Lepisosteus oculatus: one gene and its partner. The protein of the gene in region 2 purifies or fractionates together with the protein of the main gene of each other region. This does not show direct contact. Links are inferred from orthologs where the notes say so. Each region holds a gene or a part of one and is shown on either strand. Other genes may lie near its edges.

Region 1 (7,484 bases), on a different chromosome or scaffold from region 2:
AAAACTGCATGAGTTGAAAAATGTGTTTCTGTTTGTACATCCTAAAGAAACAGAGAACCCAAATGTCCCATCTAAATCAGGGCAAGATGCATTAAAATGGTTTCTTCCAGAGTTACCTATGGCTGTAATTTATACTTAAAGTGTCCTATTGATTGCTTAATGGAAAATAGGATGTTTAATGGAATTCTAGCGTTAATGTTTTCAAGACAGTTTCAAACAACTTCATGCATTTAGGCTAATATGTTACTTAAAACAATCTTCTACTTCATTCAATCTTCTACAATGTTCCAAAAGATTTGAGTGCAGGATTCTAATGAGTTTTTGAGTAGTTATTGTTATCCTGGATAGTGATAGTTTATACTTTATAATTCTGAAAAGTTATACTAGAATTGAAATGTAAAATCAATGTTTGTTAAGACAATTTTGAATGTCTTTGAGGGTGTTGTGTCAATAAAACTTGTATCGCTTATTACATTTTACTTTTTTACTGTTTTCTTCTTGTATTCATTACAACATCCTGAATTCACATAACAAAGCAGCAACAGCTGCATGCATTGAACAGCTGTCCAAGCACTGTGCCTTTTTTTTCTAATTCAAAATTTGACAAATTTTCATCCCATTGTCGAACATCTCTGATAGCATGTCAGTATATATGATGTTTGCCTTTTGGATTTCCAGTCCCTTTGATGCAATTGCAGATGAACACTTCACTCAGGAGAAGGTCAAACCCTAATCTCACCCACTTCTTGTAACGAACAGTTCTTTCCGGACCCTATGCGGACGACACAGTCCGACGGAGTGGGGAAACACTAGGGAAACGTCATGCAGGAAAACGGGGCTGAAGACAAGGGGGCGTGTCCAAAGTGCGCTGGTGCACGGGGGAGGTATGGCCGAGGCGAACAATCCGAGAGTAATCCATAGAGTATCCAAAACACGAAGGTAAGTCCAAAACCAGAAGATCCATCAGAACACGGAATTAAAAACCACGAAGGCCGGGTCGGAACCGGCGGACAGGGGACAAGGAACAGGGGTTAAAACCTTAACGGGACCAGGCGCTTCCTGGTCCCGGACTCGCACGATATGGAAATCAGATGCAGAGCCCGGAAGAGCGTCAGCGCCTGGCTTTTAAGGTAGGCAGGGAATAGGGCGCAGGTGCATGGAATAAAGTCTAGAGTGATAGGGCTGGAGCACCCTTAAGGAGGGGGAACTAATATCGTGACACTTCTACCTGTTTATAAGCATCATGCTTTTTCTCTACTCACTCACTTTTCTCAACCCTTCCTACATCCCATCTTTACCCCTGAAGCAGCTCCCTGTCTTATTCCTCATTAAAGAAGGAAGAGGTTCCAACTGATAGGTTGTTGTTAACCTCAGCCAGGGGAGTAACCCCAACAGAAATCTAGATACCACTTATCCTCCTTAATTAGGGTTTGACCAAACAACTTAATTCAGATTTCCATAAGATTTGAGTGCAGGGTTCTAATGAGGATGCTTTCTTTGTTAAACAAGTAATAATCAAGCATGACTTTTTGAAATCACTTGTCATCTTTTAAAATTCCTTATCTTGTTCAGTTGCGCCATGACACTCTGAACAACTAGAAAATCACACAGCAGTTTGATTAGCTACTCTGATAAGAATCCCACAAAGCTTAAAACGTCACATAGTGCGAAATATCTTCATTTTCAGGTTTTCTCTAGAAAAGAGTACATCTATACTAAGTATATCCAAGACCACAGAGAATGAAAATGAAGTCTCCTTGGCTTTTGTGAAATACATCCTGTCTTGCTTTGAAGCATGCCACCAGGCTTGCAGCCCTCTCCATGTGTGAGTGATGAAAAAAACCACATTAAAGGCACATGGTGAAGTGCAGCCATGTGACTCGTTAATAGAGTAAGTGCTCAGGTCCCTGCCTCATACTAAAAAACTGTGCCCAAAACGTTAATTACTTCACCGCACACGCAGGAATTCTTGTGTTTATGGTTGCAGAAAGAAACTTGCAACCCTGCTATTTGTAATCCAAAAGCACGGGAATCCCTGGAAAAGTAGTGGCTCCTGCAAACTCTTATGCACCACACGGAGGGTGCATAGCACAACATAATTGAGGCGTTGGTCCTGTTTCGAGATCACAGATGTGGGCACTGCCAACATTGCCAATCACTGCAAGTGATACCACTGCTCGGCTTCTCAGATCGTGGATGCCACTGGGGCTCATAAGTAGCAATTGCAGGTACTGTAGGAGCAGGTGAAAGAGAAGGGTAAGCCTCAGCTTTCTCCAAGAGAAGATGCCTCTGCTGTAGTTAATAGGAAAATATTCTACTGTATTTTCATTGAGTATGTTTAAAGACCTCATGGAGCAGTTCTTTTTCATATCGTGATTGGAACAGTGGTAAACTGAATGTCACATTTACTAATTATGGTCCATGGCTTGCAGATTATACTTGAACCTCCCCTCTGCATCCTGGTGTTGCCTTAAGATGAAGCTCGCAAAGTGGTTGTGTGAAATAAATACACCCCAATTCTTTACAGCTAGTTTAAGACAAGTGCAGCAGGAATGTAATCAACCACACTGTCAGTTTATCATAAACAGTTTTGCTTTGTGTGTTAAATTGTTTATCTATAGGAAAGCACTGAAACCTTCATGAATAATCTTATATTGACTAGAAATCTGCTGGAATTTGCTTTTTTACTGCTGCTCCTATAAACTAAGGTATACAGCACAATTTAGGCAGCAGGTTGGTTCTGGATTAGAAATGGTCATGCAAACTCGCAAATTTGAAAAAGAGACATAGTATGATAGGATGAAGAAAACTTACCCTGTTTGTTGCGAAAGAAGTTTAGTGTTTGCCTCTTTCTTTCCCTTTCCAGCAAAGTCTGTATGAAACAAGAAACAATACAAAGAACTTCATAAGTGCACAGTGTTCAGTAAATTCCCCACGTTAGTCCATCGGACCCTCTGAATTTGTGTCGTGGAGACTGACTGGCTGTCAAGGGAAAGCCTCCCAGCAGCCGCAGTGGCTGTAGGATCCCAGTGGGCAGAAGACACACCTTGAGACGTGCTCTTCACCAATCAAGAAGGGGAAGGGCGGGGGGGGGGCAGCTCTGCCTCCTCCTCGCTCCGCTCTGTCAGGAGAAAAACACTCCACACACTCTGCTTCTTCAGCCCCCCTCCTCTTGGGGAGTGCTGCAACTTGCTCCCGGACTCCGCACATTCCTCTCATACTGCTGCCAACCTGCCGCTGCAGCAGCTGGGATGTGTTAAACGAGGCAGTCAATTTTTATAACCAAGGTCATGGGCTTTATCTCCAAGCAAACTCCAGACCTCGCCCTCCCCTTGAACTAAGCCGCTGTAAGACTCTTCCTTTCATTAACGCTGCAAGGATAACAAGGAAAAGAAAATTAGCGTTGGAAAAAAATGCTGTATCTACAGCCTCTAAGCCCAGTTCTGAGGAAATTAATTGGAATCAGGTCATTTAGAGGGGATTTCAGGGCTGCTGGCTGCCCCACCACGGAGTTTGAAAAATAGATTGTCTCTTCTGTTAACCCTTTGGCTGAGTGATTTTTCATTTTCTTAAATGTTTTTTTTCTGAGTAAATCTGACTGCTTTCTACATTGACCAATGAGCATGAATGTGCTGGAATTAATCAAGGTCCAATAGTTGGGTTACATCTGCTCTCCGTTGAAGTTGATCGCTTCTAGGAGTATTTTCCGTGTGTTTCCACTCCTATAGGAACTGTAGTGTTCATTCCCTGCACCAGGAAGAACATGGTCCTAGGAAAAGTGTGCATAGTCATTACTGTTGGTTCAAGTGGGGTGGCAGGAAGGTAAGTTGATTAACATTTAGATTACACATTATGTAAAGAAAACAATGGGCGGTTCAATTTTTTAAAAAATGTTGTTTTATAGCACACTCCCCAATAGCTCACTATGTTTCAATCATGAAACAGTGGAAAACGTAATCTTGGAATCTGAACTAGATTCTACCTTCACCTCTTCTGACCCAAAGTCCTCCTTCATACCAGAAGATGCGATTTTGCAACACTACAGACTCTTAGATAATTGAACTCTTTCCAAGGAAAATAGTCAAAGATAACCAGGTCTTATTTTTTAGCTGCTGTTAAGAGCTGTGGGTAAGAGATGATCTTGGATTATTCTTTCCTTTTGTTTCTTGACAGACTCCATTTCGCATGATTCTTCAAGCACTGTGGTCAGGCTTTCTCCAGAAGTTAATGTAAGAGCCACTTAAGAGACTTTTTTGCAAATCATCTGTCTTATTGTCTTCTGAGGGAAATGTTTTTTTAAAGCATAGAAAGCTACTTTGAAATGCTGTAAGTTATATATGATAATATGTGAAAAGAGGCAGTCCACACATAACATTGATAAATTGTACATTGAGCACGTATGGTGTATTATATTTAATCAAGTGAGGGGGGAAAAGACTGCACTTTGAAAAAAATATTTATCAATATATTAATGAGATGATTTATTTGTTTTAATTTTCACATTTACTCCTTTTTAGTGCAGACTTTAACCAGAAAGCCAGGACACTGCTAAATACCTGTTCAGCTCCAAACACATCCCCAGTGTGGAGTTATTCTCTTACCATACCTGGAACCCTGTTCGTTTCCAATTTCTATTTTTTCAACGCCTGGAGGAAAGAGCTCTCACACACACCTCTTTTCCCCATTAGAGAGATCAGTGACATCTCTTTTATTTTTTTAGTTTTATTTTTTTGTGCAGGAATAATGGAAGCCAACAAGTACTGAAAGATAACACAAAAATGCTTAAAGGGAATTAAACATCAATCATTTAATAGGTTAATGGTGAGGTTATACTTGGAACATTTGAGACAAAACAGTAAGCTGATTTATTTTGTGCTGTCTGACTACCATGCAGCTTACTAAAGGTATCTCATTTTGCATTTGGATAGCTTTAAAGAGAGCAGGGAAAGCATCTTCTTAATACATATCAAGCAAGAAACTGAAGTTTAATTAAATGCATGTTTTATGATGCTTAGCTTACTGTGTTTGGCCTTTCATCTCTCTGCCTTAGTGACTTGCCATGGGGACCAGCAGGGAGCTGGAGAGGAGGAGGTGAACCAACCCATAAATTGGGAATAAACCAGTTTATTCTAAAAAAAATACTTTTCATTTTCTCTTCACTGGGTGCAGTTGTTTTCTACCTACTGCCTAGAGTCATGTGTAGAGAAATAACTCTGGCACAAGTGCCGTGCTTTGTTAGTTTACAGTATACTACGGCAGTGCTATATGCCTGTACCAACAAAGTGTATTTACAAGGATAAAAGGTGAGTGGAAGGGCACATTAATTTGAAGTTTTTTCCTTTCATTAGCTTTTTTTTAATGGAGTTTGTAACAGAAAATCGGGAGGAAGAAAATCTTGCACTCTTAGGTTTGCCAATGGATATACGTCACACATCTCTTACTTCTCCTGCCACCCCACCTACACCCCTACAGTAACTCCCTGCCTTGGCCCACACACTTTCAGATAGGAATTAAGCTGCTTCAAAATTGAATAAGAAGAAAGAATTCTTATTCTTTCCTCTTATTCAATTAATAAGCCTACAGGGAGGCCTACAGGGAGGAGGTCAATCTCCTTACAACATGGTGTGATGACAACAACCTCACCCTCAACGTCAGCAAAACCAAGAAGCTGATTGTTGATTTCAGGAAACTGCAAACCGGACATGCCCCTATCCACATCAACGGGACTGAAATGGAAAGGGTCAGTAACTTTAAATTCCTTGGTGTCCATATCACCGAGGACCTCACATGGTCTCTCAACACCACCTGTCCGATCAAGAAAGCGCAACAGATGCACTACAGAAAGCACACTGACAGGCTGCATCACAGTGTGGTATGGCAACTGCAGTGCTGCTGACCGCAAAGCCCTACAGCGGGTGGTGAAAACTGCCCAGTCCATCACTGGGGTTACCCTCCCATCTATCCAGGACATTTATGACAGACGGTGCTTGAGGAAAGCTCTAAGCATAATCAAAGACCCCACACACCCCAGCTACAGACTTTATGATCTGCTACCATCTGGAAAACGGTACCTGAGCATTCGGGCCCGGACTACCAGACTCAGAGACAGTTTTTACCCCCGCACTATCAAACTGTTAAATTCCCAGCCTCTCTCACTCTCACCTCACCTCTCACCTATGATCTGAACCTCACAGTGCCTTCTTCCTTCCTTTCTTTCTTACCAAAAACCCAAACACACATTGAAAATCTTCCTCTACCATACATGTCAAAAGCTCACTCCCCATAATTTCTATCCCTTTATTTTATTCTGTTGATGCATATGAACTTGAACTTGAACTTGAACTTTATTGCCATATGTAACCGGTACTGGTACAATGGAATTCTTACTTACAGAAAGTCTCTCGTTTGTAAAACAAGTGTAAAAAACAAAACAAAGTGCAAAGAGTGCATCAAGACAATGTACAAACAAACAATAGACAATGTGCAAGTAAACATGCAGACAGTCTGAATGTAAGTAAACATGCAAACAGTTTGAATGTAAGTAAACATGCAGACATTTTTGCACATAACCTGTTACCTTTTTGTTGTTTTGCACATTGCCTGTTGTTTTTTGCACATTGCCTGTTGTTGGTTTTTTGCACATCGTCTGTTGTTGTTTTTTGCACACTGGCTGTTGTCTCTGTCTTTATTTTGCTACACAATTGTATTGTTGTTGTTGTTGTTGTTTTTTCTCTTTGTACTACTTATGTCCGAGAGCTACCTAAATAGCATTTCGTTATACCATAAACTATGTATATAAGTGTAATGACAATAAACTTGAAACTTGAAACTTGAAAACTTGAGAATGTAGTGGTTTGGAGATTCTTAATAGATAAGATACTGGCAAATTGGATGCATACTGTTCTTTTTTTACAAGATCAGCTTTTTTCTTTGGCAGAGAGTTTCTGATTTCCCGTTTGATCTTGGAAGTCAGTGTGAGACAGCTACTTGCAGGGATGAGTCAGTCCTTTGAAAGACAGCTGCCTGCTTTGCTTTCCAGTAGTGTGTGATTGCAATTATAAATATTTACTAGTCCATTCGGTAATTTGTAACAGCAGCTGACGACAAACCTGGTTCTAGACATAATGACGGAGAGCAGGCATGACGATTGTGTTAATGTGTGCAGGAGTGTCTATTTAAAGAAGCACAATAGGGCTTCTGAAATGTACAACAAGACCGCTATTGTCTCTAACATATTTTTGTTTACAGGAGTGGGTGATCAAGAGCGCCCACAGGGTTCTGGGGTGCATAAGGATCTTAAGGTTACAGATGCACAGTCTAAAAGGACCACTATCAGACCCTCTTCTTTAAGTGTAGACTTGGGAAGTGCTGCTTTTTAAGAACTAAAAGCTTGGGTCATGCCAAGTGTCAGCTCTGACTAGGAGTCCATGAGGGGCACTACACAACTTGCATCTGAGCTTTCTCCTGTGTTTTGCCATGTATCT
Region 2 (7,363 bases):
AAACAGCTACTAGATAACAGTCCCAGATATGAATTCATAGAAATCTGCTAACAACTTCATAAAAACACTTGTTTATTAACATAGAAAAAGTATATCAATGCAAAATAGAGTGTTGTTACATCCTATTCAGTCGAAATTGTGTGAAAACAAAAGTACCAATTTTTTTATCAGCGAAAATAAAGGAACCAGATCCATGGAGGAACTAGCACTGCACTACCCCTGGGATCTGACTGGCACAGCGGGTTCTCCTGGGATCTGACTGGCACTGCACTACCCCTGGGATCTGACTGGCACGGCGGATTCCCCTGGGATCTGACTGGCACTGCACTACCCCTGGGATCTGACTGGCACGGCGGATTCCCCTGGGATCTGACTGGCACTGCACTACCCCTGGGATCTGACTGGCACGGCGGATTCCCCTGGGATCTGACTGGCACTGCACTACCCCTGGGATCTGACTGGCACGGCGGATTCCCCTGGGATCTGACAGGCACGGCGGATTCCCCTGGGATCTGACAGGCACGGCGGATTCCCCTGGGATCTGATGCGGCACGGCGGATTCCCCTGGGATCTGATGCGGCACGGCGGATTCCCCTGGGATCTGATGCGGCACGGCGGATTCCCCTGGGATCTGATGCGGCACGGCGGATTCCCCTGGGATCTGATGAGGCACGGCGGATTCCCCTGGGATCTTACTGGCATGGCGAATTCCCCTGGGATCTGACTGGAGCTACGGATTCCGCTGGGATCTGACTGGAGCTACGGATTCCGCTGGGATCTGACTGGAGCTATGGATTCCGCTGGGATCTGACTGGAGCTACGGATTCGGCTGGGATCTGACTGGAGCTACGGATTCGGCTGGGATCTGACTGGAGCTACGGATTCGGCTGGGATCTGACTGGAGCTACGGATTCGGCTGGGATCTGACGGACACTGAAGATGCTGACCTGGCAACTGCTGGTATTGTGTAAAAATGACACCTGAAGAAGGCTCCACCGACGAAACGTTGTGTTCTCTTTCTTCTTTTTTTCAGCATGGAATAAACCTATTACTTGTTCCTTTGTGTAATAAATGTTGGTCTTTGCAGCTATCCACAGTGGGCACTGTTCTTTTGCGTGTTCCAAGCTTTGGCAAACGTTTGACAAAGAAGTCTATAAATAAAACTTGCCAGCAACTATATCACCCTGCAGCTCACAACTTGCAGCACACTGGAGCTCAGCAGCTGTAAGCCTGGCAAGTACCTGGATGGGAGACCTCCTGGTAAAATGTGAGGTTGCTGCTGGAAGAGGTGTGAGTGGGACCGGTCGGGGGTGCTCACCCTGTGGTCTGTGAGTCCTAATAGGGACAAGGACACTGCACTGTAAAAAGGCGCTGCTCTTCAGGTGAGATGTAAAACCGAGGTCCCAACTCTCTGTGATCATTAAAAATCCCAGGGTGTTTCTTAAAAAGACTAGGGGTGGTACCGTGGCGTGTGTGGTGAGTGAACTGGTGCAGGTCGGCTGCCATCTCATCATCCAGGTGGAGCTGCACACTGGTGGTGGTGGAGAGTCCCCTCCAAAGTAAAGTGCTTTGAGTGGAGTGTCCAGAAATAGGCTATATAAGGATATAATTATTATTTGTCTAAAACATTTAACAATGCGAGCATGACTAAAGTGCTCTATAACCCACCAAATGATGCACATACAGTATATGTATACTCAGTGCATAAGCATACACAAGTGTTTCTTTAAATCGGAAGTTCCAGATCAAAACCATAGACAACGAGGGGTTTCCGCCGGCGTATCGGATTAATCATGTATTCTGTACCTTAACCGAGGGACGCTCAAAGCCGATACTCCACGGCTGTCCAGCAGGGTTTTGAGTCTATTTAAATATCCAATTTCTCGAGGAAAAGCTTCAATATGATCAACTAAGCACATAATGAGCCGTAATGTAATTAGGGAATTAGGGCTCAGGTCGGAAGAAGACCAGAACCCTACCCCCCACCTGGACTGGACTGTGCCCCCTGCGCCCCTCTTACCTGTATATCAGAGCGGTAGCTAGGTTTGACGTGCGGGCAGGTGGGATATTTCGGACGCACCGCCGTTCAGTAATCCACGCAGCGCACGGAAAGTTCGTGCAGTAAAAGAAGGTCTAGCGCGCCTTACACACCAGGCGCATCCCGCCGTGCCCTGCCCGCACACCCGCGCGGCGGAGCCGGGGCTACGCCACCCGCCTCTGATGGGTACACAGTAGAAACTTCGGGTAAGGACATTTCATTACAGACAACTGCCCTGAAATCTCCGCGACCAGCGCAGCAGCAGATCCACAACACGGACTCATAAACAGAGAGCAGAAATGCACACAAGTCAGCCAAGCGGAGCTACTTGGCGCAGACTTCCACACTGCCTCGTCCGCGCATAGTGTACACTTCAGCCCGGTCTCTCTCCGCCTTCGGAACCTCCTCACGACTCATGAATTTACAGCATACAGGGATTCCTTGTCTCTAGGTTTCTTACTTACCGGCACAGACATCTTTGAAATATGCCGCTTGGTCTGCGTTATGGTTGATGGAAACTGTACTTGACGCTTGTAAAAAAAAAAGAAAAACGCTATTTTGTCAAAACAACTCGGGGCTTTTCGTCCTTATGACATCCTTGCTTTTTATCGTTTGTATGTTATTCTTTATCCACGCCAAAACCAGGATCTTCAGTCTGATTTGCGTCGGAAATCAACGTCAGGAATTTCGTTCGTCTCACCCAAAATCCAGCAAAGCAGAGCTCCCAATTCCAGCCGAGCCCAGCGCGTGCACTTGGTATTTACAGAGCCCCCCTGTCTCAGCTCCGCAAATCACACCTTCTCTTCTCCTAAATGTCACCAGTCCCTTGGTTGTTCTTCTCTCTCCTTCTCAGTCTGGTACTAGAAGCGTAAAGGGTCTCCTATGCAATCGCTCCCTGAGCCGCTTGCTCCGGCGCCCGGATCTGCGGCAGTAAATGTCACTCCGGCGCAGCAGACACGGAGCTGCTCTCTGGCCGCGAGGACGGAATCAGCAAGTTCGGTTTAAAGGGATGGTCTCCCGGAGGGGGGAGAGGCGGGGGGCGCAGGCGCTTTTAACATAGGCTTTCCAGCACGGCTCTTTAAAGGGAACGTTTTTTTCATTTTCTGTCGGCTGTAAAATGCCTGTTCTCACTCTGGCTAATATCGATAACTTATCAGCTGTAGCACTAACAGCACATCCAGTACAGTATATGGTCCTGGCATGTTCAGTCCTTGGTTGCAATGAACGCAGTTAGTTTCGTGTCATTACGGTAAAGGTTGGAAACAGTTACATGAAAGTCATCAATCATGGATTTTCACTGTGATCCCAGGATGTCTTACATCTTCGTGCGCCTGAACAAGCCTCCTGTTTCAAAATGTATCACAGTCACAGATGAGGTCCCATAAACGTCTGAGATCTGTGCTGCGCTTAAGGGATGGAAAGGGTTCCCCTCTTACACAGGTTTAGCGTTGGACTCATTTGGGCTAAAAGGCTCTGTTTAATTGCTAAGAAATAATAAACTGCTCTCCTTCTACTAAAAACTGTTACTGCTACTGTTACTGCAGATATATCTGGCAACAATGGCACCTCTACCCTATGAAATCCTGAATAACTGCAAACTCCATTTCTAGACGTGTATAAGTGTCACAGGCGGCTGTTCCTGCAGCTGTACTCACAGATAAACACAGAGCACGCCAGGTTGCAGAGCAATGCAGGAAATCTTGTACCACAAACACAGGTTTAGGTTTAAAAACTGATGTCCAGAACTTGAGCCCCAACAATCAAGCCTTTGTACTGAGTTTGCTGGTTCTCATTAGGACTGGTGTGAGGAACTGACTGGAGAGACTCGTGAACACAAAGGTAATGAAAAATCTAGTATTAACTTTACGGGTCCTGTCATAGTGGTGACCCATTAGGAAATCTTCCAATACCCCTGTTAGCACTGGGGTGTCCTGCACAGCCCAACTCCAATGTAATCAGTCCTGCAGGTGTGTCAGCTCTTCATGTGTGGGTGCTTTAAACCCTGCCCAGAGGTCAGGACTGGGGACCCTCCACTGGTTTTGAGACTGTGCAAATCTTTCTTTGCTGTTTACTTGAATTATTCACAGGAGAGACGCAGCATCAAAGCAGACAGGAAGCTCACAAAGCCTCTGCCACTAACAAATGATGTTCCACACTCTTGCTCTCATGTGCCGGTTCCTGACAAAGACACTTCAGTGTCAAAATGTTGTCCTGTTTTTACAAGTCGCTCTCTGTGGTAAGCAGTCATGCAGTGAAAGTAGTGAGCGGATTGCTGAACCGCTGAACGTCTAGCACAAAAGAATTAAGAACTACACCTGAGAGCACATCAGAGCACGCAGGTTCCTCCCCCTTTCTTTTGCATTTTTTAAGTACCGAAATCAAAGCCTTGTGAGCAGCAGCAGCACCTCACCGGTGAAGTGAACCCCCCCAGGGATCGGGCTGTTGCAGCACCGCTCCCGAGATGAGACACAAGCTGTCCCCCCTGGGGCTGCAGGGGCGGGCAGGAGAGGAACAGGTACAGCCCCCCAGGGAGAGCAGCCCCCCTGCTGTGTCACGGAACACGCAGAAGAGAGGATCCCAGATGTGTGTGGGAGGTGCCAGTGGATTTGATTGTTTTATTTCGTGTCACAGCAAAAGCCCAAAGCATGAAAGCAACCCTGACAGCTGTGACTCCTGGACAGTTTATATACCCGAGTCTGGCTGCAGGAACATTTTTACACTGTGAAACAGGAAACAATTCCGAGACCCTGCTGAAGCCTTCACACTCTTCCCTCAAGAGCTGATTCATCTATACCTGCATGCTGGACTGTCAGAACTGGATACTTCTTAAAGAAGAGGGAGACAAACACACCCCCTGCCCTTTTCGCTTTTCTTCTGAGTGCTTGTTTGAAATGTAATTAGGATCCTGACCTTGAAACACAGAAACATCCCTGGTGGCGTTTCATTCTGTAACAATAATTACAGTCACAGAGTGCGCCTCGCCTCCGAGACCTGCAAAGGGCTTCACCTACAGGAGGGACCCACTTCGGCTACTTCTGTAGTACAGCCACACCTGGGGAGCCAGCAGACCAGGTGAGAGGGTGATCAGGCAGAGAGGTGACCCAGTTCAGGGGAACTGGGGAGGCAACCGGGGTTAATAACTCTTCTGTTACGTATAATGTCATGAGACCTTTAATGAGCAAGTACTTAGGATCTCAGTTTAAGATCTCACCCAAAGGACAGAACCTTACAGCACACTGTCTCTGGGTCACTAAGCTGGGTCACAGTTTTGGGAATTCTGCTCCAAGGGGCAAGAGCGCCACTTACTGGTTTACCAACAACACCCACAGCAGGAACTTGATTTTCCCTGCAGGTCTCTTGTCTCACTGCTGCCCAGGCTCAGCCTCTCCAACATCTTCCTACTGAGCCTTGCTGCCCAGATATTGCTAGAAGGTAGTGGCAATACTATTATTTTAATAAAGTAAAACTGAGAAGTAGATATTGATCTCATTTGGGAGCTTATGCATTAAAGCGGGGAGATTAAAATGTAGGGGGAGGGGAAAATCAATGGGTGATCTCAGTGGTATTTTCAGCAGCGTGGGTGCACTAAAAAAAAAAAGCATTACAATCACATCTCAATAGCACCCGACTCCTGAGGGAAGAGCAAGTTAAAAGAAGGTTTTTAATAGGACTGACTATGCCTTGTGAATGTTCTGGAGTCACGCCTGTATGAGACAGACTCAGAGCTGCAAGATGAAATCCTTTTCCCCACATGCTGAGCAGAAATGATCCTAAACCAACAGCATTGAGCTTTGCCAGTCAGGCGATGGAATAAAGAGACATTTCCCTCTCTGCAAACCCCTCTGTTGAAGCAACGAAAAACCCAGGGATACGTCACAAGCAGCTGCTGGAATACAAAGCCCCCAGTGACACAGGTCCCATGCTGGACCTCTGCTTCCCCCCAGATCACTGCAAAGACTTAAGCAAGTGCCGAGCAAAATCCTGATGATGAGGAATTTCAGTTCCTTCACAGATATGGATGACGTGTTTGAAAAGAAAAGAAGAATTGAACACAGAGTGTGACCATGCTGGGTGAAGACTCAGCTTGCAGAGGAAAGGAGTGAGCTGCACGGAGGCTCTGTAGCTCTTCCTGTCCTGCCATTCCCTTTTGGGGGGGGACTGTGAACTGTGTCACTGCAGGGTCTGGGGGGGCCAGCTGGGACATCAGGGGTCCTGCAAAGAGGAGCACCTGTCAAGGCCGGCAGACCTGGGTGGCTCTCCCAGCGCCCCTCACTGCCTGGACCTCTGCTTCTGTCCCCGGTCCAGAGCAGCACGTTCACGGCAGAGTTCACAGGCCGCGGGAAGGAATACACTCTCCCCTGCTTGCTCGTGGAGAAACAGAGTTCACGAGGAGCAGTCGATGTCGCTGTGAAGGGCACACATGATCTGCACGCATCTGCTACAGTGCCAAGCGAGAAACTGAGACCCGAACACTGCTCTTTGACCGTGTTTAAATCCCTGTGAAGGCACGCCCAAACAATCAGGACAGGGCAGATGTCAGACTTACCTTGTCTTTGCAATGTCAGGTTGAATTATTAAATGCACTAATCTGTGGATGGAGAAAATGGCCTGACCAAAAGCATCTCGACATCACATGCTGGCAGCTGCGGCCTGCTGGGAGTATCGCTGCCTGTGAAACAAGTCACTGTTTGCACTTGACAGTCTGTGTTTGCTTATTAGATTAGACGTGGTTGAGCTCTCAGGCCCACAGCGGTTATTAACAGGCAGTAGGCACATACAGGTCAAGAGCGAACAGCGCTTCCACCACACAGAGACACTGTGAGGGAGGAGCAGAACCAATCATAACAAGCAGCAGGCTGGCAGCGCAGGGCGATCGCAGCGTCCTGTGCCAGGTCAGGACACGCCCCGCCCTGCGCCGCCAGCAGGGACAGCCATGGCAAGAGCCGGCCCATCACAGCGGAGGCAGCCGGAGAAACAAAAACGAGAGCAGGGCCTGCACGTGACTTCAGATGTCCATTTTTATTCATGTCAGGATAAGAACACACGGGGAATGGGCAGCAGCCTGCCCATTGACGTGTCCTGAGTGGCTGAGCAGGTCCAACACTGGGGTCACCTGCAGTGTGCCGGATGCTCAGCGGACACCCCAAAACTTTCAGCAACAACAACCTTGACCCATCATCACACTGACAAAACACCCAAGCCTAAAAACTTCCCACATGGAAATACAGAGTCTAACATCACTCACTGCCTGCACTGTGTATAAAAACATATCCACAACTGAACGATTCACAACAAGAAACTACAAACACAATATCCTCCTCTCTC

What was found. Proteins that work in one complex are often made in the same cells at the same time.
Region 1: the proteins of bcar1 (region 2) and bcar3 purify together in Homo sapiens (co-immunoprecipitation; 4 studies listed by BioGRID and IntAct, counting the BioPlex papers as one, with this or other methods). This does not show direct contact. The link is inferred for Lepisosteus oculatus from reciprocal best matches to the Homo sapiens genes BCAR1 and BCAR3.

What each region holds. Positions count from the first base shown.
Region 1 is NC_090704.1:27,726,384-27,733,867, reverse strand, and holds the start of bcar3 (breast cancer anti-estrogen resistance protein 3), read right to left. Parts: upstream 3,064-7,484; 5' UTR 3,047-3,063; intron 2,873-3,046; 5' UTR 2,815-2,872; intron 1-2,814. UniProt on the Homo sapiens protein: Acts as an adapter protein downstream of several growth factor receptors to promote cell proliferation, migration, and redistribution of actin fibers.
Region 2 is NC_090715.1:820,381-827,743, reverse strand, and holds the start of bcar1 (breast cancer anti-estrogen resistance protein 1), read right to left. Parts: upstream 3,037-7,363; 5' UTR 2,515-3,036; coding exon 2,503-2,514; intron 1-2,502. UniProt on the Homo sapiens protein: Docking protein which plays a central coordinating role for tyrosine kinase-based signaling related to cell adhesion. Implicated in induction of cell migration and cell branching. Involved in the BCAR3-mediated inhibition of TGFB signaling.